Linked DNA regions of Macaca fascicularis. The protein of the gene in region 4 interacts with the protein of the main gene of each other region in a pairwise test. Links are inferred from orthologs where the notes say so. Each region holds a gene or a part of one and is shown on either strand. Other genes may lie near its edges.

Evidence for each region. The genes of interacting proteins can lie anywhere in the genome.
Region 1: the proteins of MEOX2 (region 4) and PCSK5 interact in binary tests that used the Homo sapiens proteins (3 or more experiments, as listed by UniProt). The two-hybrid records come from large-scale screens. The link is inferred for Macaca fascicularis from reciprocal best matches to the Homo sapiens genes MEOX2 and PCSK5.
Region 2: the proteins of MEOX2 (region 4) and CNTNAP2 interact in binary tests that used the Homo sapiens proteins (3 or more experiments, as listed by UniProt). The link is inferred for Macaca fascicularis from reciprocal best matches to the Homo sapiens genes MEOX2 and CNTNAP2.
Region 3: the proteins of MEOX2 (region 4) and CARD9 interact in binary tests that used the Homo sapiens proteins (3 or more experiments, as listed by UniProt). The two-hybrid records come from large-scale screens. The link is inferred for Macaca fascicularis from reciprocal best matches to the Homo sapiens genes MEOX2 and CARD9.

Annotation. Positions count from the first base shown.
Region 1 is NC_088389.1:107,034,602-107,039,976, reverse strand, and holds part of PCSK5 (proprotein convertase subtilisin/kexin type 5), read right to left. Parts: intron 1,381-5,375; coding exon 1,163-1,380; intron 1-1,162. UniProt on the Homo sapiens protein: Serine endoprotease that processes various proproteins by cleavage at paired basic amino acids, recognizing the RXXX[KR]R consensus motif. Likely functions in the constitutive and regulated secretory pathways.
Region 2 is NC_088377.1:190,060,248-190,065,316, reverse strand, and holds part of CNTNAP2 (contactin-associated protein-like 2), read right to left. Parts: intron 3,985-5,069; coding exon 3,785-3,984; 3' UTR 1-3,784. UniProt on the Homo sapiens protein: Required for gap junction formation. Required, with CNTNAP1, for radial and longitudinal organization of myelinated axons.
Region 3 is NC_088389.1:3,001,353-3,006,575, reverse strand, and holds part of CARD9 (caspase recruitment domain-containing protein 9), read right to left. Parts: intron 5,097-5,223; coding exon 4,917-5,096; intron 4,833-4,916; coding exon 4,689-4,832; intron 4,463-4,688; coding exon 4,337-4,462; intron 1,959-4,336; coding exon 1,767-1,958; intron 1,401-1,766; coding exon 1,359-1,400; intron 984-1,358; coding exon 938-983; intron 321-937; coding exon 39-320; intron 1-38. UniProt on the Homo sapiens protein: Adapter protein that plays a key role in innate immune response against fungi by forming signaling complexes downstream of C-type lectin receptors.
Region 4 is NC_088377.1:114,576,202-114,581,576, reverse strand, and holds the end of MEOX2 (homeobox protein MOX-2), read right to left. Parts: intron 3,001-5,375; coding exon 2,776-3,000; 3' UTR 1,602-2,775; downstream 1-1,601. UniProt on the Homo sapiens protein: Mesodermal transcription factor that plays a key role in somitogenesis and somitogenesis and limb muscle differentiation. Required during limb development for normal appendicular muscle formation and for the normal regulation of myogenic genes.

The DNA of each region.
Region 1 (5,375 bases), on a different chromosome or scaffold from region 4:
TGCCACTGCACTCCAGCCTGGGTGACAGAGCGATACTCCATCTCAAAAAACAAACAAACAAACAAACAAACAAAAAACACTTATTAAAACTTTACTGAAGTGTAATAAGTAAATGCATAGAATGGAGAGATATACCACATTCATAAATATAACTCAGGATTGTAAAGGTGGGATTTTCTCCAAAATAAATTCAATGCAACGCCACTCAGTATCAAAATACTTTTTAAAAATGAAAGATTTTTAAAAAATGAAACTGGACTCATTACGTATTTACATAAAAGAACTAAGCACAGCCAAGATAATTTTGAAAAGCACAGGTATGTATCCTACCAGCTAATAATATTTTTTGTAGAAAGTTTTAACAATTAAAATATGGAAGTATTTCTTTCTTAAATATTGAGAAGCATTCACGGTGATCACATATTTATGGCAAGGTGTAGAGAAAAACGAGAAATTTGAATTTCAGGGCACTCACTGTGGCATTAGTATACCAGATGACCTGGTGTGGGGGCAAGATTCAGAGTTGGGGTGACCTGCTGGCTGCTTCAAAAGGTGTGATACTAGATACTAAAAATGGAAGATGAGGGTAGTGAGGGTGGAAAAAGATCTCATTAGATAACTATTTGGGAAAGAGAATCAACAGATCTTGAAGTTTAGCTTTGTTGGAGGTGGGTGGGTTGGGCAGGTGACAAGGGAAGAAGAGTCGAGGAGAACTTCAAAGTATCAGCCTGGGCTCGTGGGTAGATGGTGAGCCTTGAGGATCTCTTGGACAGACAGCCAAGTTTCTGTAAAAGAGGTATGGAACTTGGGAGAGTTTGAGGCACAAGTCTCAGGGAATAGTGCAAGTCATGAAAATAAATAAATCCCCCCAGACAGATTCATCAGGTAGAATAGGAAAATGATGAGTGGACGAACAGTGCTTCCTCAAGGAGATGATGCCTGTCTCTGGGCCTTGAAGGATGGGGGATGGGCAGGAGCAGCCCAGGTTAGAGGGAAGAGGCAGAAGTTAAGAGCCAACAGAGGGCGCTGATGCTGGAGAGGATCACACACGAGGTGGGGAAGCAAGAGGAACCTCCCAGGTGGTGAGAAGAGAGAAAGGGGCAAAGAAGGAAGAAAACCTTTTCATTTTTCTACGCACACATGCAAAATGACAGACTCTTACCTTTGCATTGACCACAAGTCGGATGGCATCTCTCACAGGTCTGTGTGCTTTGCTCTACATAGTAATGGTCTGGGCAGGAGGGACGACACTCTCCTTTGGAGCGGAGCAGAAAGAAAAATCTCTCGCAAGACAGGCAGTCTGTGGGCCGTGGGCCCCGGCACCCCTTGCAGATCCTGTGGCACCTCTCACACCGGCCGGTGGAGTTGTCTGCGTAATACCTGAAACCGAGGGAGAAGAAACGATGGAATACTAAGCTTTGCTCCTAAATTGGGTGCAGTGGAAAAACGTGGTAGTCAGGTTTCATTTACAAGCTGGGTGACTTTAGCCTCTTTACCTTACTCATTAGATTCATTGCTAATAACACTAATGAATCCAATGATTCCCAGTGTTCTTACCTGTAAATTGGGCCAATCCCTCCCCCATTATTTGTGAAAGTTAAACTGGGTAACTAACACATATGAAAAGACCTAGTGCTTATCACACCTAGTAGCATCTCCATTGTTGCTAGCTACCATTGCCTTTTTCTACCATGTGCCTCTCCAAATTCATGCTTTACGTTGTGGTTAATGGCTGGCATCAGAGAATGGAAGGATTAAAAAAAAAATTTTTTTTTTTTTAAATAGTGATGAGTGTCTCACTATGTTGGCCTGGCCATTCAGAGGTACATTTAAAAAATCCATCCAGGCTGGGTGCAGTGGCTCACACCTGTAATTATAGCACTTTGGGAGGCCAACATGGTTGGATCACTTGAGGTTAGAAGTTTGAGACCAGCCTGGCCAACATGGTGAAACCCTGTCTCTACTAAAAATACAAAAATTATCCAGATGTGGTAGCATGTGCCTGTAATCCCCGCTACTTGGGAGGTTGATGCAGGAGAATCATTTGAACCTGGGCGGTGGAGAGTGCAGTGAGCTGAGATCATGCCACTGCACTCCAGCCTAGGCGATAATGTGAGACTCCATCTCAAAAAAAGAGATCCATCTGGCCAGGCACAGTGGCTCACACCTGTAATCCCAGCACTTTGGGAGGCCAAGATGAGAGGATGGCTTGAGGTTAGGAGTTTGAGACCAGCCTGGTCAATCAACATGGTGAAACCTCATCTCTACTACAAATACAAACAAACAAACAAAAATAGCCAGATGTGGTGTGTAGTCCCAGCTACTTGGGTGGCTGATGCATGAGAATCGTTTGAACACAGGAGAGTGAGCTGAGAGCACACCACTGCACTTTAGTCTGGGTGACAGAGTGAGACTGTCATAAATAAAATAAAAGATAACAAATAAAATAAACGTACCTCTGAATTATTCTTCTAATTTGTCAACTAAAAAACAGATTTTGAAATAGGAGGTGACAAGTGTGATATTGACATTTACATAACAGATATAACCTTGTTTGAAAAGATTTTTGGAGGTTAAATATAGTAACTATAACCACTATTCATTAAGCTTCTACTAATATGCCTGATAGTATTCCAGGGACTTCATAAACATTATTTCACCTTGTTGAACCTGCAAATGAGACCCTAGAGTGTGGAAGTTGCCACTTGCCCTCGGGAACAAGACTAGTTTTAAATCCCAGCCATACCACTTACAAGCTGTGTGACCTTGGGCCAGTCACTCAACATCTCTGTGCCTCAGGTTTCTCATCTATAAGATGGGGCTAATGTTAGTACCTACAATTAAACATGTGATTACTGAGAAAGGGATGGGGACCATGATGGGCACTTTATAAATAATTAATGTACATTAGTGATAATTATAAATTGTGTGATTTATCCTCATAGCGAATCTTATGATTTAGGTATTACTATCCTTATTTTACAGAAGCAAACATTGAGGCTGAGAGAATTTAGACAACTTGCTTAAAGTCAGTTAGTGAAGTGGGACAATATGATTTGAGCTTAACTGTTAAACGCTGTAACAAAATAGTTCATTAATTGAAGGTAAACAAAGGTTTGCAAGCAAGACAGAAGAGGGTAACAAAATTCTTGCTAAGGATGAGCTTCTAAAGGTCATCTGATTCATCTCTGTATCTCTAGACATCAGCACCACTAAACCTATCCTAGAAACCTCAAGGTTCATCTTTGTTTCCTCTGGTGCAACACTACAGGTCCCAATAGGCTTTTTTTTGTAGACTGATTCAGCTCCGTGAACTTGCTGAGAACTCACACCATGCCTAGGTTATGCTGAGCCTTGCTCTATTTAGCCACCCGTCACTGATCTGAGGGAGCACATTGGAACCTCAGTGGCCCGGCTTGTGGTAACTGGAGACCTGCTTCACTTTGTGCAGTTATGTGAAGAACAATGACTACTATGTGTCAATCTGGAAGACTGAGGTATCTGAGAGACAAAGCGATGATGAGCTGAATGGCTGACAAAGCCCACATAAGACTCAAGAAAAGAAACCATCAGAGAAAAGTGAAATCTACACAGAGCAGAGGGAATACACAGGATTAGAGTCAGAAGATTGAATTTTTACTCCTGGCTCCGCCATGTATTAGTAGCTCCATGACTTTAGGCAAGTCACTTAACCCCTCTGAGCCTCAGTTTCTTCATCTGTAAAATGGAGAGACTAATAGCAACCTCATGAGATTGTTGTAGAATCAAATCATAATGTAAAGATACATTGTGAGTGGAAATACTTTGTAACTCTTAAGCAGCATACGAAAGTTTTTTTTACCTAATGTTTTTATTGTAGATTGTTATAAAGATGAAAATCATCAGTAGGAACTGTGGGAAAGAAAGCTTATCAATTTTAAGTAGGTTTTTTAAATTATCAAGGAGGAATGCTAAAAGAGACAACAAAGAGTTTATTGGACCAGATTAAAAGAGTACAACACCACTGCTTGCTTTGAGGACTCATCAGTGTCCCAGCTTCGAAGAGTATAAGCACAAGCAGTAACCTAGGCTTTAAAGAAACTTCTCTGAGTTAAACACCAAAATAATTATGTGGGTTGGGATAGGGTGCAGAGAAGTATATATCTACTTTTCCAAGGCAGAGATTTAACATACGAGGCTTATGCCAAGCATGTGGAACACTGATTTTACTAAAGGAAGAGTTCTCCTCTTATACCTCATGAATATTCAATTTCTTCTTTATTAAAGGGATCTATGGCAACCTGTGCCTCCCCTCACCAGCCCTGGGTTCACACACGGTGAAACAACTGTCTTCTTAATTCCATGGTCTGCATTCTACCTAGATGACAGGATGATTAAGTACCCTTTTTGTGCTTGAGAGTATTCACTGACTTGATTTGAGCAAGATGGGCTCCAGATCTTTTCAGACACTTACTAGGGTGATGCAGAAGGGCTAAGCCAGGTGGCCTCATCCCTGGTTGTTTTTTTTTTGTTTGTTTGTTTTTTTGACAGAGTCTTCTTCTCTTGCCCAGGCTGGAGTGCAGTGGTACGATCTTGGCTCACTGAAACCTTTGCCTCCAGGTTTAAGCAATTCTCATGCCTCAGATTCCCAAGTAGCTGGGATCACAGGCGCCTGCCAACACACCCTGCTAATTTTTGTATTGTTAGTAGAGACAGGGTCTCATCATGTTGGCAAGGCTGGTCTTGAACTCCTGGCCTCAAGTGATCTGCCCACCTCAGCCCCGGAAAGTGCTGGAATTACAGGCATGAGCCACCATGCCTGTCCATCCATCTCTGTTCTTAATCTGGCAGGGCCCTTTCTTCCTTGATCTATATGGCTGGTATTTTTCTTTCTGAGACAGAGTCTTGCTCTGTCACCCAGGCTTGAGTGCAGTGGTATGATCTTGGCTCACTGCAACCTCCTCCTCCTGGGTTCAAGCAATTCTCCTGCCTCAGCCACCCAAGTAGCTGGGATTACAGGCACATGCCACCATGCCTGGCTAGTTTTTGTATTTCTAGTAGAGATGGGGTTTCACCCTCTTGGCCAGGCTGGTCTTGAACTCCTAACCTTGTGATCTGCCCACCTTGGCCTCCCAAAGTGCTGGGATTATAGGCGTGAGCCACCATGCCCGGCCTGGCTGGTGTTTTTCAAGAGCTGCTAATGTGTGGCTCTGTGCTGAGTGTTGTAGAAGCAGATGTAAGGCATAAGAAGTGTTTTTCTTCCATGAGTTTATGATTTTCTTGGGAAGAGGCATATAAAAATAAGAATAAACTCTTAAAGTCAGTGATACGGTTTGGCTCTGTGTCCAAATCTCAGCTTGAATTGTACTCCCATAATTCCCACGTGTTGTGGGAGG
Region 2 (5,069 bases), about 75 Mb from region 4:
AATAATTGCTGCCTTTTTTTGGGAAAATTGCTCAACAGAGTGGTGAAAAGAAAAGGGGGGGTTTCTTTTTTTTTTTCCTTTTTGTGGAGAACGGGGTCTCGCTGTATTACCCAGGCAGGTCTCGAACTCCTGGGCTCAAGCTATCCTCCCGCCTCTGCCTCCCTGAGAGCTGGGATTACAGGCGTGAGCCACCGCGCCCGGCCAAAAGGGGGGGTTTCAAATTCAGTGTTGTTTGGAGGCATGAAACATAAAGGGGCCATTAAAAAGTTTGCTGCGTAAGAGCAGGATATAGTGTGGCAAGGAGAGGAAGAGAGAAAAAAGTAGGATCGAAAAGAACAGATTGCATCATAGAAGGAAAGAAAAGCTTCTTGACGCGACCTGAACACTTGCATGTTCAAGTCCCATAGCTGTGTGCTTGTTCCTGAAGTGCTTCCAGTGGCTTCTGTCTGTGCCCAGCTCTCAGCCTGCATATATGGTGGCTGCTCAGCAGATGTTCAAAAGTAATATTAAGATAGACTCTTTGGCTCATGCCATTGCTTTTTCTTGTGCCTCTGAATTCCTGTTCTTGTTAGTAAAGGATGCTTGTTTGTCAAATGCAGGGCAGTAGGACATTTTCTAGTAAAGGCTGTCTAAATTCTTGTTTTCAGCTCTTTAATGAAAACTTCCACATAACAAGTCTCTTTGAGCAGTTGGTTGAAAGCCACAAGGGGAAATATATTTTTAAATATTAAGAAGGGCCAGAAAATAATTTAACAATAAAACAACTTTTTCAACCTCCTGGACCAGCTTTCTTGAACTCTAGGGAGTCTGCTATTTTGAGAGCTTAGAGTCGCACTAACCTTGCATTCATTCAAAGTCATCTCCTATCTTTCCAAAACATCGATATTTGCTTCATACACAGATGTTTCCTGCACAACCTTAAATCCGCCATTAACTTTCCCTGAAACTTTAGAACAGCCTATTTTGTTGTTGTTGTTGTCTATACATATTATTTAAAGAGGCTACTACCAATATACTTGTGCTTGCTTGATAATGTATTGGAATATAAGATGTCAAGATTGTGTGAGAAGTGAATGACAAAGCAGGATTAGGCACTGAGAGCTTGGGTGGGAATGTCATGGTTATCGAGGCTGCACTGTGTTAGGCTGTCCAGGGAGAGAGTTGGAAGAAAGAGTTAATTCCTTTTCTTCACATAAATATATTATTTACCACTTAAAATGTACTGGATATGGCCTTCATAAGCAGATGTAGGGATTTTTGTTAAACTCATAATCCCAAGAAGAGGTCAAGATTTCCAGCATTTATTTGGCACTTAATTACTTAATACTTTATCCACCTTTTGGTTTCCTGTCTGATGGCCATATTGTAACCCTCTTGAAGAGAGAGAGAGAGAGTATCCTATATGTCTTAATTGATGGTGATATGGGAGAACCACTGATCCCTGCAGTCATTCCAGTGTCCTAGGTTTGAAATTTTGGTGAGAGGATTGGATCTCATTTTTCACCTTTTGCGGGAGGAGAAAGGATGAGAACATTTTAGTAGCAGAAGCTGTTTTGGGTGACTTTAATCCCCTACTCATTTTGGGGAAAAAAGGAAAAGTGTTGACAATGCATAATGAACAGAGCTATCGTGGGAATTGCAAGAAATAATAAATTTCCATCGGGCGTTATTTGGTAAGTACAGGAGTAATACCTGTAAACCAGGTTTAAAAATCAGAAACACTTTTAAAATGTTATGTTTAAAATTTGCGTTCAACAATACATACAGTAACTCCTAATGGTAGTCATCTTGGCTAAATAAAACAGCCTTTGCTTTCAATATTTCATTTGTAAATGTTACATTGTTCTGATATTTAGTGATATTAAATGTTTTTCCACTTTAAATGTATTTTATAGAAGAATGATTAAAACCTTTTAAAATTAAGGGTGTCCATGACAGTGCCTGAGCTCAACCAGCAATGGTAAAAGGGCATCAGGATTCCCTTTTGTTCTGTTACCTTGACTTGCATGGGAATTAACTGGTCCAATGTGTCTTTTGGAATGTGCTGTGTACTGGTGTAATGTGCCACTAGCAACTCTAGGTAATGTTTTCCATTACCCAAGAAACTGACATGCCCCAATAAGTTAGGCATACTGAGAATCTTGAAAAAAAAAAATGCATTATTCTAACCAACTAGAATTTCCATTTTATTGAGCCGGGCCATCAGAACAATAGCATCTATACCTCTGAAACCTCCTCTTAACCTCTCCCAGGCAAAGAAGGAAAAAGTGATATTTAATTCCTCAGAATGGTGGGATCTCAAGATTTTTAAAAAAGTGCTTATTAAGTATAAGAGGCTTGAAATATAATGATCACAAATGGTAGTCTTTCTAGAAATAATTTTTGTATAATCTGTTTAAAAAATAAGATTATTTTTGGATGCATTGTCCCCATTTGTTTACATGAAGTGTATTATTTTTAAATATAATCAATGAGTTATTTGTTACACAACTGGGTCAAGGTTTCAGATTAAACTAAGAGGTGTGACTAACTACACTTGTCCATCGTCTGAGAAGCAACAGGTACCAGGTTTGTGAGGAACTTGAGGTTCAAATGTGTCCATCTCAGAAGATCCCTGAATCACAGCAGTGTGATTGCATGGAAAAACACGTGGAGTAGTTGATTTAAAATATGGCAGTGTTTTCCATATCATCCAGAGTAACAGCCGTAATAACTTTATTGTGTTGCATCCATTTATAGGACACGGTCTATTAGGATTTTATCACAGGGGTGGAAAAACTACCAGAGACTTAAAGCAAAATAAGAAGCGCAACCTAATTTATGCATTCACTAGAAATTATCCATACGTTCGCTACAACTTTAAAAGAAAAAGTGCAAACAAATCATAACATCTGGCTCTAATACCCCATTGAGGCGCTTATACATATATAAATCCAGTATGTTTCAGATAAAACAGGAAAAAATCTTTTGTAACAGCTGGTCACCATGGTATTGCAGCTGATAGTTACAGATATTGAATTGGTCTAAGACTACATATTAGAACAATATTAGCTTGTAGAATTCAATGAAAAACCAACAACCCCAATATAAACTGCCTTCTCTGGTTCTTTAATGCCTCTCTCCAGTTGTGCTGATTGTGTCGTTACACACCAGGTGCCATGCACTCTCTTGCTTCAACTGCTGTTACCAGTCAGGAACCCCAGATGCCAGAGAGCTGGCATAGATTGAACTCTGCTTGAAAACTGGCAAATAATAGGTTCTCTTTGCCCCTTTCTTTTCCAACTTATAGGACATCAAAGGAAATAGTATATGAACACGAACTAGTTACTACAACAGCCCATTAAGGTTGACTAGAAGCAAAAGGAAGAGAATGTTGGGGGCCATATGTAGGTGCATCAGCTTTTCTCAAGAAAAAATACCCATGTTCTAAGGGCTCTTAAAAATGTAGAAAACTTGCCCTGTTACCACGGGTCTTTAGAACACCTCTAAACACACACAAAATAAGACAGATATTACCTACAAACTTCAACCATTGCTTAAACTCTAAAAGCATTTTTTTGTATTATTTTGTTTTGATACAGAAGGGAAAACTCAGCTATAAAGAAATATTAAATTTTTTTTTTTTTTTTTGTCATCAGTCTCAAGAATATTCCATTGCTTGCCTCCCCCAACTTGTGCTGATATTTTAAGGATGTGCTCAAGAGTATGAAGCAGGGTGCTTTTGTCCCTTTCTCTCCTTCCTAGTAATTCCCTCCTCCCTATCCCATAGCCAAGTAACCACCCCTCAAATGAGCCATTCCTTTTTGCTTTCATCAATGGTCTCTGTGAAATTGGGGTCGTTGTTCATGATGGCGGCGTCTGCGCTCTCTGCCGACTCCGCCCCCTTGGCTTCATTGGTATGGTAGGTGCCCTTGTGGCGGAACATGTACCGGATCAGGAAGACCAGGGTGCAGAGGATAGTGAAAATCACCACAGCAATGACGCCTGGCGGAGAAAGGAGAAGCACGAGAGGTTAGACAGGGCTTGGGTGTCCCTCCAACACTGTCCCCACTTCACTACAGCTCCCTCAGACACAGCCCTCTCCCATATAAAACACAAACTCCAAAACAACAAAGATAACAAAAATGAAGTAAGATTTCTGTTTTTGTCCATGAAGGAGTAACAGGAAAATCAGGAGTAACTTCCCTTCCAGCCAAAAGTAACTGAAATACTGGACACAATCAATGAAATGACAGTCTTCAGACATTAGAAAACGGGCAGAATGGAACCATGATGTCTGAGAACAGAGAAACAAAAAGGAGGAGTCCTACAATTTTCCTCGTTTTCTGGCTGCCAGCAATTTTTGGACAGCAATGTAGGGAGGGGCAGCACAAGAAAGCACAGTGGTTTCCCTGAATGGAGAGGGGAGATAGAGCGCGTGCGAGAGCTGTGTATAGAAAGAACCCTAATAATCTGCACGGAAGTGTCTCTGAATTTGTGTCAGAATGACACTAACGTGTGCATGTACAGAATGAAAGTCATAGGCCAGGCAAAAACCAGAGGGCTCAGAGGGCTGGGAGACGTTTATGTTCCAACCAACCACACTGAAGAGACCTCATTGAATAATCAGAGCATTTAATACAGTTATAGAATGGTCATGCTGAAGATGTTTGCTAAAATAGGCCTAGAATAAAGACTACCCTAGATCTGTCCTGAAAAAGCTTTAAAGCACATCTAAATAACTTCAAGCTGCAGAGAAAAATAATTCAGAGAAAAAAAATGTAGGAAAATGTCACTTGACCAGAAGAAACATCAGTCAATTAGAAGGAGATTCAGAAATGACAAGAGCATGGAATGAGCAGACAAGGATAGTACAATAACTATTAGAAATGTGCACAGGGGTTTAAAGGAAAATATGATCAAAATGAGAGGAAAAAATGAAATAGTGGAACTTGTAGAGGTGAAACATACAGTGTCTGAAATGAAAAAAATACTGGATCAGGCCAGGTGTGGTGGCTCACGCCTGTAATCCCAGCACTTTGGGAGGCTGAGGCGGGTGGATTACTTGAGGTCAGGAGTTCAAGACCAGC
Region 3 (5,223 bases), on a different chromosome or scaffold from region 4:
AGCCTCTCCCCTGCTCACCCTCGGACCTTCATGCCTGCCCCCACTCCTGCCACAGCCACCCAGGGAGATGGTGGCAGTGCCTGAGCTGGACTCCTGGGTCTGCTCGCCTCTGTGCCTACATGGGGGCTTGGCGTCCCCAAGTTCAAGTGTTCTGGGCTGCGGCCAAAGGTGCTGGTCTTCACTTCCCCATCTGCGGCTCCTCCCTCCCCTTCCGCCTCTGCTTGGAGGCCACAGCCTGGTGCTCGGGAAGCTCGTCCAACTCCCACGCAGCCTCCCAGGGCCCCTCTGCTGGGTCCTCCCCGACTCCCACCTGACACCACCTTCAGAGCAAACACCTACCTCATCACCACTATCCGCTCCTGGGCACTCGGGGGCTGCTCCCAGCCAGCCACTCCAGTTCTTCCCCCAGAGAGGCACAGGGGGCCTGCCCTGCCCGCTAGAAGCCCCCACCACTGCCTTACCCCCACTGCACCGGGACACAGCAGGCCCTTGGCCACCCCTGCATTCGGCCCTGTCCCTCAAGCCACGTGGGGCCCCGTCTTGCCCCACTTTCTAGCTTTGTACCCCTGGGCATTTGCTCATCACCACCTCCCTCTGCTCACCTCTGCACCCCGGGGGGCTGCCCAGAGGGGCCCCACACTCTCAGGACAGTGGGCCTGCTCACCTCTGCACCCCGGGGGGCTGCCCAGAGGGGCCCCACACTCTCCACCCCAGGGGACACTTGTCCCACCAGCTGGGCCCCGGGTTCCACTGGGCTCTGTAGTTTGTTCTCTGGGTGACCTTGGCCATTTTACTTATCCCCAGCCCTAGTTTCCGTCTGTGGGGTGGGGGTTGTGGGGGCTGAGACAGGCATTGCGGCACGGGCTGCCTGTGCTGAAGATGGGCCTCGCTTGGGGCAGCCGGGAGGCCTCCAGGTGCACTGCCGTCCCCACCTTACCTTTGTCCGAGAGCTGGGTGTCCTCCAGGTCCTGGGGGAGCGAGAGCTTCCGAAGAGAGGCAAGATGTCCCGTTAGGTCACCCCGCCAAGGACTGGACCCGGCCACACTGCCCACCCCGGCCGTTGCCATCACCCCCTGCACAGAGCTTCTCAGAGACTCAGGTGCTCAGCAGACGGATGTGGGGGAGGCCAGCTAGGAAGGTCCCGCCATGAGGATGCAGGAGCTGGGCACTGTCCATGCCTTGCCTTACCCCTTGAGCCGTCGGAGGCCTTAGTATTTGGCCACCTGCTCTTCCTCCACCGAGCCCAGCCCACTGAGCAGGGCCACGTGACGGGCAGTGTGGGGCTGTGCCTGGTGGCGGCTCAGCCAGAACCCCAGGTGAAGGAAGGCCAGCCTCGTGCCGGCTGGGGTCTCACTCACCTCCTGGGAGCTCCTGGGTGAGCCATCCTCCAGGTCGGAGCTCTGTGGTCATAGAAAACGGGGTGGGTGGGCTGTGGGGGCAGAGGGCTCCCCAGGCACAGGGTGGGCAGGGCACAGAGCGGGATCCTCCAGGGAGCCCTGGGCATGCCCTTAGCCACGCCAGGCCCCCTCCATGCCCAGAGCAACGTGCTAGGCTGCCTGATGGCCAGGCCCAGCACCCACCCTGGCCCTGCAGCCCCATTTCCTGCTGGGGCCCTGAGCTGCTCCTGTGCCCTCACCCCACTGCGAGGGGGGGTTCGGTTAGGTGGGGGCCCGTCACAGAGGAGGGTTGGGTCAGGAAGGCCCATGTTCCCCCGGCCCTGCGTCCCACCCGCTGGCTCCCCTCCCTGCCCCAGGCCCCAGGCCCACCAGCACGAGCGTCTCCAGCTGCTGCCGCCTGAGCCTGCCCTCCACGGCCAGTAGCTGCGCCTCACGCTGGAACACCTGCAGCTGCAGCTCATCTGCCTTCTCACCCAGCTCCCGCACCTGCTTGCGCAGTGCGTCCTTCTCCTGCAGGCCCCGGGCATGCTGCAGGTGCAGCTCCTCCCGTGTGGCGATGGCCTGATGGGACAGTGCAAGGCCGACCCTCAGTGAGGCCCCCAAGCTCGCCCTGGGCCCTCGGCCTGGCTGCCCAGCTCCGAGCAGAGGCCCCGGAGGACGTCAAGCCGCTGGGTGTGGAGGCTGGCCACAGCCCCTCCCTTTATGTGCTCTGTGAACATGAAGTCAGCATCTGAGGGATTGTAAAGGTGACAGTTGTCCCTGCTGCCCTTCTGTCTCCTCCGAAGCCTGCACCCCCGGTGGACACAGCGTGTGCTGTGCACCGGCCCCCCCAACACACACACACGTGCACATTTGATAAATTTTGGATGTGGCTTGATATGGGGACCCTGACTGTCCATGGCTAAAACTCCTTCATGAGCGCAGCACTCTTCACCACCCCTGTCCCCACTGCAGATGCTGAGGTAGGTACAGGAGCGAACGTGCAAACATGACGGCGTGACCACCCCTGCAGCCGAGGCTGGGAGGCCCTCACCTAACCCCTGCCACTGGACTGGAGCAATGGCTGGCAGCTTCCCTAATCCCTGGCCTACCTGCCCCCGCACAGCCCCGTGGGAGCCCTCGCCCTGGGAGCCACACCAACCCCTATGGGGGCACGACTGGATCTGCCCTTTTTTCCCCATCTTGGGGTGGGCCAGGCGTGAGTGAGGCTGTGGTGGGGCCGCACAGGAGTTCTGAGCCTGTGCTGCTCTCATGGTGGCCAGGGCTTGCTTTATGGCCCCAGGGGTCTCGTTTTAAGGCTCCTGATGTGGACAAACTGCCATCCAGAATTTCGCCGAAGAAGCAGTGGTGTCCATTGGAGACAACCTCCAGGATGGGACTCGGGACGGGGCATAGGAAGCAGACACAGCCCTGCCCCGTGACGCTCTATCCGGCTCACAGCATGTAGCACTCGAGGCCTTGCAGGCCTCACTCCGGTGGCCCAGGCTGGAGTGCAGTAGCGCAATGGTGACTTGCTGTAGCCTCAGCCTCCTAAATAGCTGGGACCACAGGCATGCACCACCACGCCAATTTTTTTTTTTTTTTTTTGAGTTGGAGTCTTGCTCTGTCACCCAGGCTAGAGTGCAGTAGTGTGATCTCAGCTCACTGCAACCTCTGCCTCCTGGGTTCAAGCGATTCTCCTGCCTCAGCCTCCTGAGTAGCTGGGACTACAGGTGCCCGCCGCTACACCCGGCTAATTTTTATATTCTTAGTAGAGACGGGGTTTCACCATACTGGCCAGGCTGGTCTTGATCTCGTGACCTCAAGTGTTCCACCTGCCTCGCCCTTCTAGAGTGCTGGGATTACAGGCATGAGCCACCATGCCCGGCCAATTTTTGTATTTTTTATGGAGTTGGGATCTCACCATGTTGCCCAGGCTGCTCTGGAACTCCTGGGCTCAAGTGATCTGCCCGCCTCAGCCTCCCAAAGTGCTGGGATTACAGGCAAGAGCCACTGCGTCCAGCCAAGTTTTTTTTCAAGATTAAAAAAAGCTACTGGTGCCGGGCGCGGTGGCTCAAGCCTGTAATCCCAGCACTTTGGGAGGCCGAGACGGGTGGATCACGAGGTCAGGAGATTGAGACCATCCTGGCTAACCCGGTGAAATCCTGTCTCTACTAAAAAATACAAAAAACTAGCCGGGCGAGGTGGCGGGCGCCTGTAGTCCCAGCAAAAGTAGTCCCAGCTACTCGGGAGGCTGAGGCAGGAGAATGGCGGGAACCCGGGAGGCAGAGCTTGCAGTGAGCTGAGATCCGGCCACTGCACTCCAGTCTGGGTGACAGAGCGAGACTCCGTCTCAAAAAAAAAAAAAAAAAAAAAAGCTACTGGTAAAACAAGACAGAATGTTTTCATAAAATCAAAAAGATATATAGATAGATAGGTGATAGATAATAGATAGATAGATGATAGATAGATGGATGGATGATAGATGATTGATAGATGATTGATAGATAGATGGATGATAGATTGATAGATAGATGATAGATGATTGATAGATAAATAGATAGATGATAGATGGATGGATGGATGGATAGATGGATGACAGGTAAAAGTCTGTAAGGTGGAGCCGGAAGGTTGAACACAGTTTTCCCTGAGAGCAGGCTGGGGTAGGGAAGTATTGACTTCATCACTGTTTACTTTTTTTTAATGTTAAATATTACTTCTGTCATTTAAAAAGCAGGCCAGGTGTGGCAGCTCAGCCTGCAACTCCAGCGCTCTGGGAGGCTGGGGCCGGAGGACTGCTTGAGGCCAGTAGTTTGAGGCCACCCTGGGTGACATAGCAAGACCCCATCTCAAAAACAAATAACAAAGATTAAAAACTCCGTGACAACTGCCCTCAAGGGGTGTGGCCCTGTGCACCCACCTGTGAGTGGGGTGCTTTGCCCGCCCCGTGAGGTGCCCACCTGGTCCCGTTCAATGGCAACCTCCTCCATCTGCAGCAGGATGGCCTCAATGCGGTCCTTGTACATCTTGGAGTCTTTACGCAGGGCCAGGCACTGCAGCTCAAACATCTCCTTCTCCTCCATGCACTGCAAGGGGCAGCAGCTCAGCCCCCACAGGCCTGAGGCCCCCCATTCTGGCCCTTGGGGTGTACTCGGGGAAGGGGCTCAGGAGCATGTGGTCAGGCCAGTTGGGATGTGGGGGGAGGCCATAGGAGTCCCCAGGCCCCACCTTCCAGGCACGGAGTGGGCGGAGCTCAGCCCACCCAGCGTGGCTTGGCCCCCAGGAGCTGCGTCGCCCTGCCTGCCCTCCTACCCGGAGGCGTCGGGCCTCGCCCTGGCGGAGGTCCTTGCGCAGGGAGAAGATGGTGTTGGCCTGCTCCTGGTGGTCCCGCAGTGCCTGCCGCCAGTCCTCTTCCAGTACCTGGATGTAGGGGCTGCTCCTGTCCAGCTTCCCCTCCTGAAGGGGGCAAAAGGCAATGGCCTGGCTGGGAAGGCCCCGGCTGTCCTGCCCGGGCTGCACCCGCCCTGCCTGCGGCCCCACCTGGACGGAGGCCTCCAGCTCCTGCACCCGGGCCTGGAGCAGGGCCTTCTGCTGCTGCAGCTCCCACAGCAGCTCCTGGCTGGGCCTCTGCTCCATGGCGTGCCTCAGCTTCAGCGTGTGCTTGCGCTCCACCTTGCAGTCGTCCTCGGCCTTCATGAGGCTGTGCTTGAGCCGGTCAATCTGCGGAAGGTCCGGTGAGCCCGGCTGTCCCCTCCAGGTGGTGACAACGGACCCACGGGGCCACCCCCGACCGCCCCAGCCTGCAGACCCCACCAGGCCAGGCAAGGGGGGCCTGGTTCCCCGGGGG
Region 4 (5,375 bases):
TAGTTCATGAGAATATCTTAACTTTCCTCAAAGAATTTTAATTCTAAAATTATATTGGGGTATAATGTAGCTAACCTACCCATCAGTTTGAAGACAGGAGGATACTGAAACGCTTTTTTAAAAATAGCAAGTTCCACTAATAAAAATTGCTCTGGCTTCCCTGTTTAATTGTCATTGTGTTGACAATGTGATAATGTGTCAGGTGTCTTATGCGGCAGATCATTTTAATTCATCATAAAGAAAGCGGTGTCTCTTTTCAGTCAGCCATGTGGCCTTTCCTACCACTTTGTGCTCTCCGGATCAAATTTCATTTTAGGATTGCTTACAATTCTCTAATAAAGATATGGCCATGATACAAAAGCCTCCTATTTCCTGAATGTTATATCTATTTGGAATCCCTTTTTCCTATTTCATTTTCATACTAAATTGGAATTCTTACATCTATTTGGCTACAACCTTTTAGCTACTTCTAAGGGGTCCTTTTCTCTTATTTCTGGAAATTATTTTCCTGCCCAAATGAATTATCCTCCACTTTGTCCCTATTGAACTCAATTTGATTTACATCTTCCCACTTCACCAATTTGTCGAGATGTTTTGAATTTAAATCCTATTCTACAATAAGAAAATCAGTCCACCCAAGTAGATGTCATCAGCACAAACAGACTTTGTATTAATTCAGATGACTAATAGAAAAGTGTCTGTTTCATGTCTGGGAGACTTCAATTTGAATGGTCTATTTTAAAATACTGTCAACTACTGAGATAAAATGTATTACAACAAAAGGAAAATGTGATACTAAAAAAATTTACTTTATTTCTGGAATACTCTCTACATATCATGCTAGATTAAGTTAAAATATATGGAATCTAATTTTTGCCAGTCTAATCATTCTAAAGCAAGTGAAATCAATTAACTGATGAGTTTTTGGAAATTTTTACTGATTGTTTTTCTGTATTTGTTTCTGATTGTGGCAGGGAAGGAAGGCTGGCAATGTTTCCAAGCATTTCCGCTTAGAATATGAAACAAATGAAAAACAGTGTGGTAAAGTTATAAGTAGGACTCAGGCACCCTATGCGTGTACAATCAGGCATGATGCAAAATACATTAGATTAATAGTACCCTTTACTTCTTACATTAGTCCCATTAGGACTCAGGACTCTGATTAGCTTGTTTAGCTTATATTTCACATCAGAGACTCTGCATATTCAGACTATAAAACCACTGTTGGATTAACTTACATATATCAGACATAACTTTAAAAATGTATGACTATTTTATTGTCCTCACTGTGTTGAATAATATTATTTAATACTTTTTTCCTACTTTTATCTGTGGCTTCATAAAACACACACCAAAAATCCATTCACTGTATTCTTCAAATTAGGGAAATAGCTTAATATATCTCCATTCTTAGGCACCCTTTGATTACACAAGGATTGATTTTTTTCCTGCCATAATAAAAAAATCAGAAATGAAAATACGTAAATAATTCACTAATTATAATCATCTGGATTTGCACAAGTGAGATAGATTTGAGACTTTGTTAATTATTGATATTGAAATCTATAAAAATTAAGGAAATTATAGTAGGGAGACCAAAGTTATTTACAAAGGATCATTTATTAAACACATTTTAAAAACAAAATACAAAGATTGTTGTTCTGCATGAATACATCACATATGAAAAAAATAATGTGTTTTTACCGAATTTAATTTGAAGATATTCAGAATTTTGTTTTCTATCAACTTGAGCAATCAGTTTTGCTTTGCACCTTGTCTAACACTGTTGTCAATCAGGAAGAAATGTTTCCTTGTTAATTAAATCATATTCATACAGCTAATATTTTACAGATATAAAATAAGGCAATGTCTGTCATACAAAGCTCTTTCTGCAAGGTAACTGATTTGCCTATGATCCTAATTTTTTTAAGCTATAAGATAGGAAGAATTCAGGAGCTAGGTAAGTTTTATAATAATGTATTAGCAGCAGTTGATAGTAAATGCAACATAAGATTTGTTTTGTCTGTGGTACAAGAATATGTCCTATCAGACTCTACTGTATTTTTCTCTACTTGAACACAGGTAAGCACATACTGATTGTCTCTGGGATGACAAAATGTATAAAAAAGACAAGAAGCTGGCTCTGGTTGTCATTGTGAGTGCCTATTTTCATCAGCTAATATGAATGCATTGCTCAATTAGTGAAGACAGGAAAATGACTTAAGGGTAATATATACAGAGTTAAAATACACTTTTTATCCACTTGAGTGATTTCAGGCACTGTGGCTGTTCAGGATAAAATGTTTCATGGTTTATTCTTGATAGCAATTTAATTTTCAGTGCAAGCAAAAGCAAATACCTGCCCACTGTAATACACATGACCTCACACATCTGGAATGTTCAATGCAAGTTCATCCTCGGCATCTTCACTTTGGAGGCATCTTGAATAAAAACGTTTCATAGTTTGCTCTTGATAGCAATTTAATTTTCAGTGCAAGCAAAAGCAAATACATACCTGCTCACTGCCATACACAGGACCAAACACATCTGGAATATTCAAAGCAAGTTCACCTTCTCCATCTTCACTGTGAAGCTCTTTAATAAGTGGCACTTTGTGTAAACCCTCTATAAATCATGAAAAACAGATTCGAGATGCCTGGATTTAATAATATTAAACATCACTGCCATAGTCATCTCTCTGTGTAAACGATGTTTGGGTAAGGCTTGCCATCACAACATTTCTTTCCTGAGAATGGAGCTAGTCCTCTGTGTATATCATAAGTGCGCATGCTCCGAGCTGTGGTCACTATCGTGACTGTCTTCATTTGCTAGAGAGTCCCCTGTTTGCTGGAGGGTGGCTGCACCAATTCCCGATAGCTCTGATGGGAGAAGTGTTCCCTTTTTCACATTCACCAGTTCCTTTTCCCGAGCCGCAGCTCCTTGCTGTCCGCCCTTTACCCTCTTCCACTTCATCCGCCTGTTTTGGAACCAGACTTTCACCTTCAACCACGAAAGGGAACAAACAAACAGAAGAAAAAAGATGATTAAAATGATATTTTCTTCTCCTTAGTGTCATCAATGAAAAGTAGCTCCTCAAAGGCTTGTACAAAGACACCTTGAAGGAGTGAAAAGAAAAATAAATCCACATTGAATTTAATCAGGTTGTACGTTCATGATAATTTTTAAACTTTCAAAAGGTGCATACAAAGTACTGTATTTGTATTTTACAGCACACAGTGTAAAATATGGAACTAGACAAAAACTTTGTCATTTACTCAAAGTACTTGTGTCTATAAAGAGTTTCTGTGAATTGGAGCTAACATAATATTGTGTTGGTCAAAGCCCCCTCACTCCTAAGTTCTTCTTGGATTTGATATCTAGCTGTCATTTCCTGAACCAATTTAAAACATGTTCTGGGAGCTACTGATTAAGTGGCATCTGAAAGGCCATTCTCTGCCATTAGAAACCACTGCTGCTTTCACAAATCTTTATTTGACCATTCCACCTCTCACTGAGCCTCTCTCCTTTTGAACTATTCTTCTTATTTTCTACCTTAATTCATTTATTTTACTTAGCAAATATTTGATCTAGTGATTTGTTTAAAATATGGTCACAATAAAAAATCTCAACATTTGTTAAATCACCAAGATTATATACTACATCATTCACATCAACTTTGTACAGATATTTTCCTTTTAAAAGCTTCATTGAAGTTGCCTAATACATTTAAATATATATATATATATATATAACATATGTGTTAAAAACAAAACAAAACAAAAAAACAGCAAACAGACGTTAAAGGTTTATCCATTATCAGAACTAGAATATTATTGACATTATTGCATCTTGTTTAGGAGGAAATCTGTTTCTTTCACATTGCATTTCTCATAATTATAGCTTCTAGTAAGCTAAGTGTTCTTTTTACATTGTATTTCTCTGTCTACCCCACCTAAAATGCCACAGGCCTGAATTGTGTGTATCATCTGCAAGTCTTTCTTAAAAAAGAAAACAAATTTTTTTCATAACACGTAACATTAAAAATATACTCTTTAATTTTATTTGTTTGTTAGGTTTATCAATGGAATGTTCTTAAGTGCAGGCTTTTTGCTATATCTATGTTGATTCAAGAGACTGTATTTATTCATTTTTTATCATTGTACAGCATTCTAAATTCTGCCAGTATAGCACTATTTTTCCATTCCATGGAAAAGTCCATGGATTTTCGAAAAGTCCATGGATATATTTGAATTCTTTTTTTTCTATATGTAAGCTGCTACAGATATTCTTGCATTTGTGTTCTGATAAGCATATCATGGGAACTTGCCTGGAGAACACAGTTATATGGCTGCTACTATCTATCTTCTCTCAATGTATGCTGTTTCTTTTTCCTTTTCTTAGAGTATCTTTTGATGATTAGAAACTCTTAATATTAATATGTTTAAATTTATCTACTATTTCTTTTATGACTAGTGTTTTTGTGTTTTCTTTTTTAAAAAAAATCTATTTTCTGAGGCCACTAAGATTTTCTATTGTGTCTTCTTCTAAGAGTTTTAAAGGTTGCCTTGTCCAACACAATGGGACCCTGTCTCTACAAATAAAATAAAATATAATAAAATAAAATTAGCGGAATGGGATGGCACAGTGCCTGTAGTCCCAGCTTCTCAGGAGGCTAAGGTGGGAGGATCGCTTGAGCCCAACAGGTTGAGGTTGCAGTGAGTGGTGGTTGTACCACTGCACTCCAGCCTGGGCAACAGAGCAAGATCCTGTCTCAAAAAGAAAAAAAAAAGTTTTCCTTTCAAATTGAAGTAGTTAATCAATGAAGTACTGATTTTAGTATATAGTCTGAGGAATAGGCTTAAATTTACTTTATTTTAAATGGATAACACATTGCCTCAGGTTCATTTATTAAATAACTCAGCTTTTTTCCAGTGATCACTGTTTCATCTGTGTTCATAAATCAAGCTTCCATATATGCATAGCTTTATTGCTATATTCTGTTCTGTTCCTATATTATTTTTTCTATAGTTGTGACAAAACCACATTATCTTATTAATTATAATTTTATAATAAACCTCTGTATCTGCTAGGGATAATTCTGTTTCATTCTTCTATATTAGGAATATTTTGAATATTCTCTATTTTCATTTTAGAAATAACCTCAATTTCTGTAAATAGTGCTATAGAGAAAGTGAGGAAAAATATATTAAATTTCCAAAGGCATTATTATATCAGTGATCTTCAAATCACGATGCTTTATCAGCATGCTTTCACAGTGAAATATTTAAACTGAGATATTTCTCTATTCTGGATTTTTCTTGGTCTCACTTTGAGCCATGGTTAAATTCGTGTATCATATATTACCCCAACATATA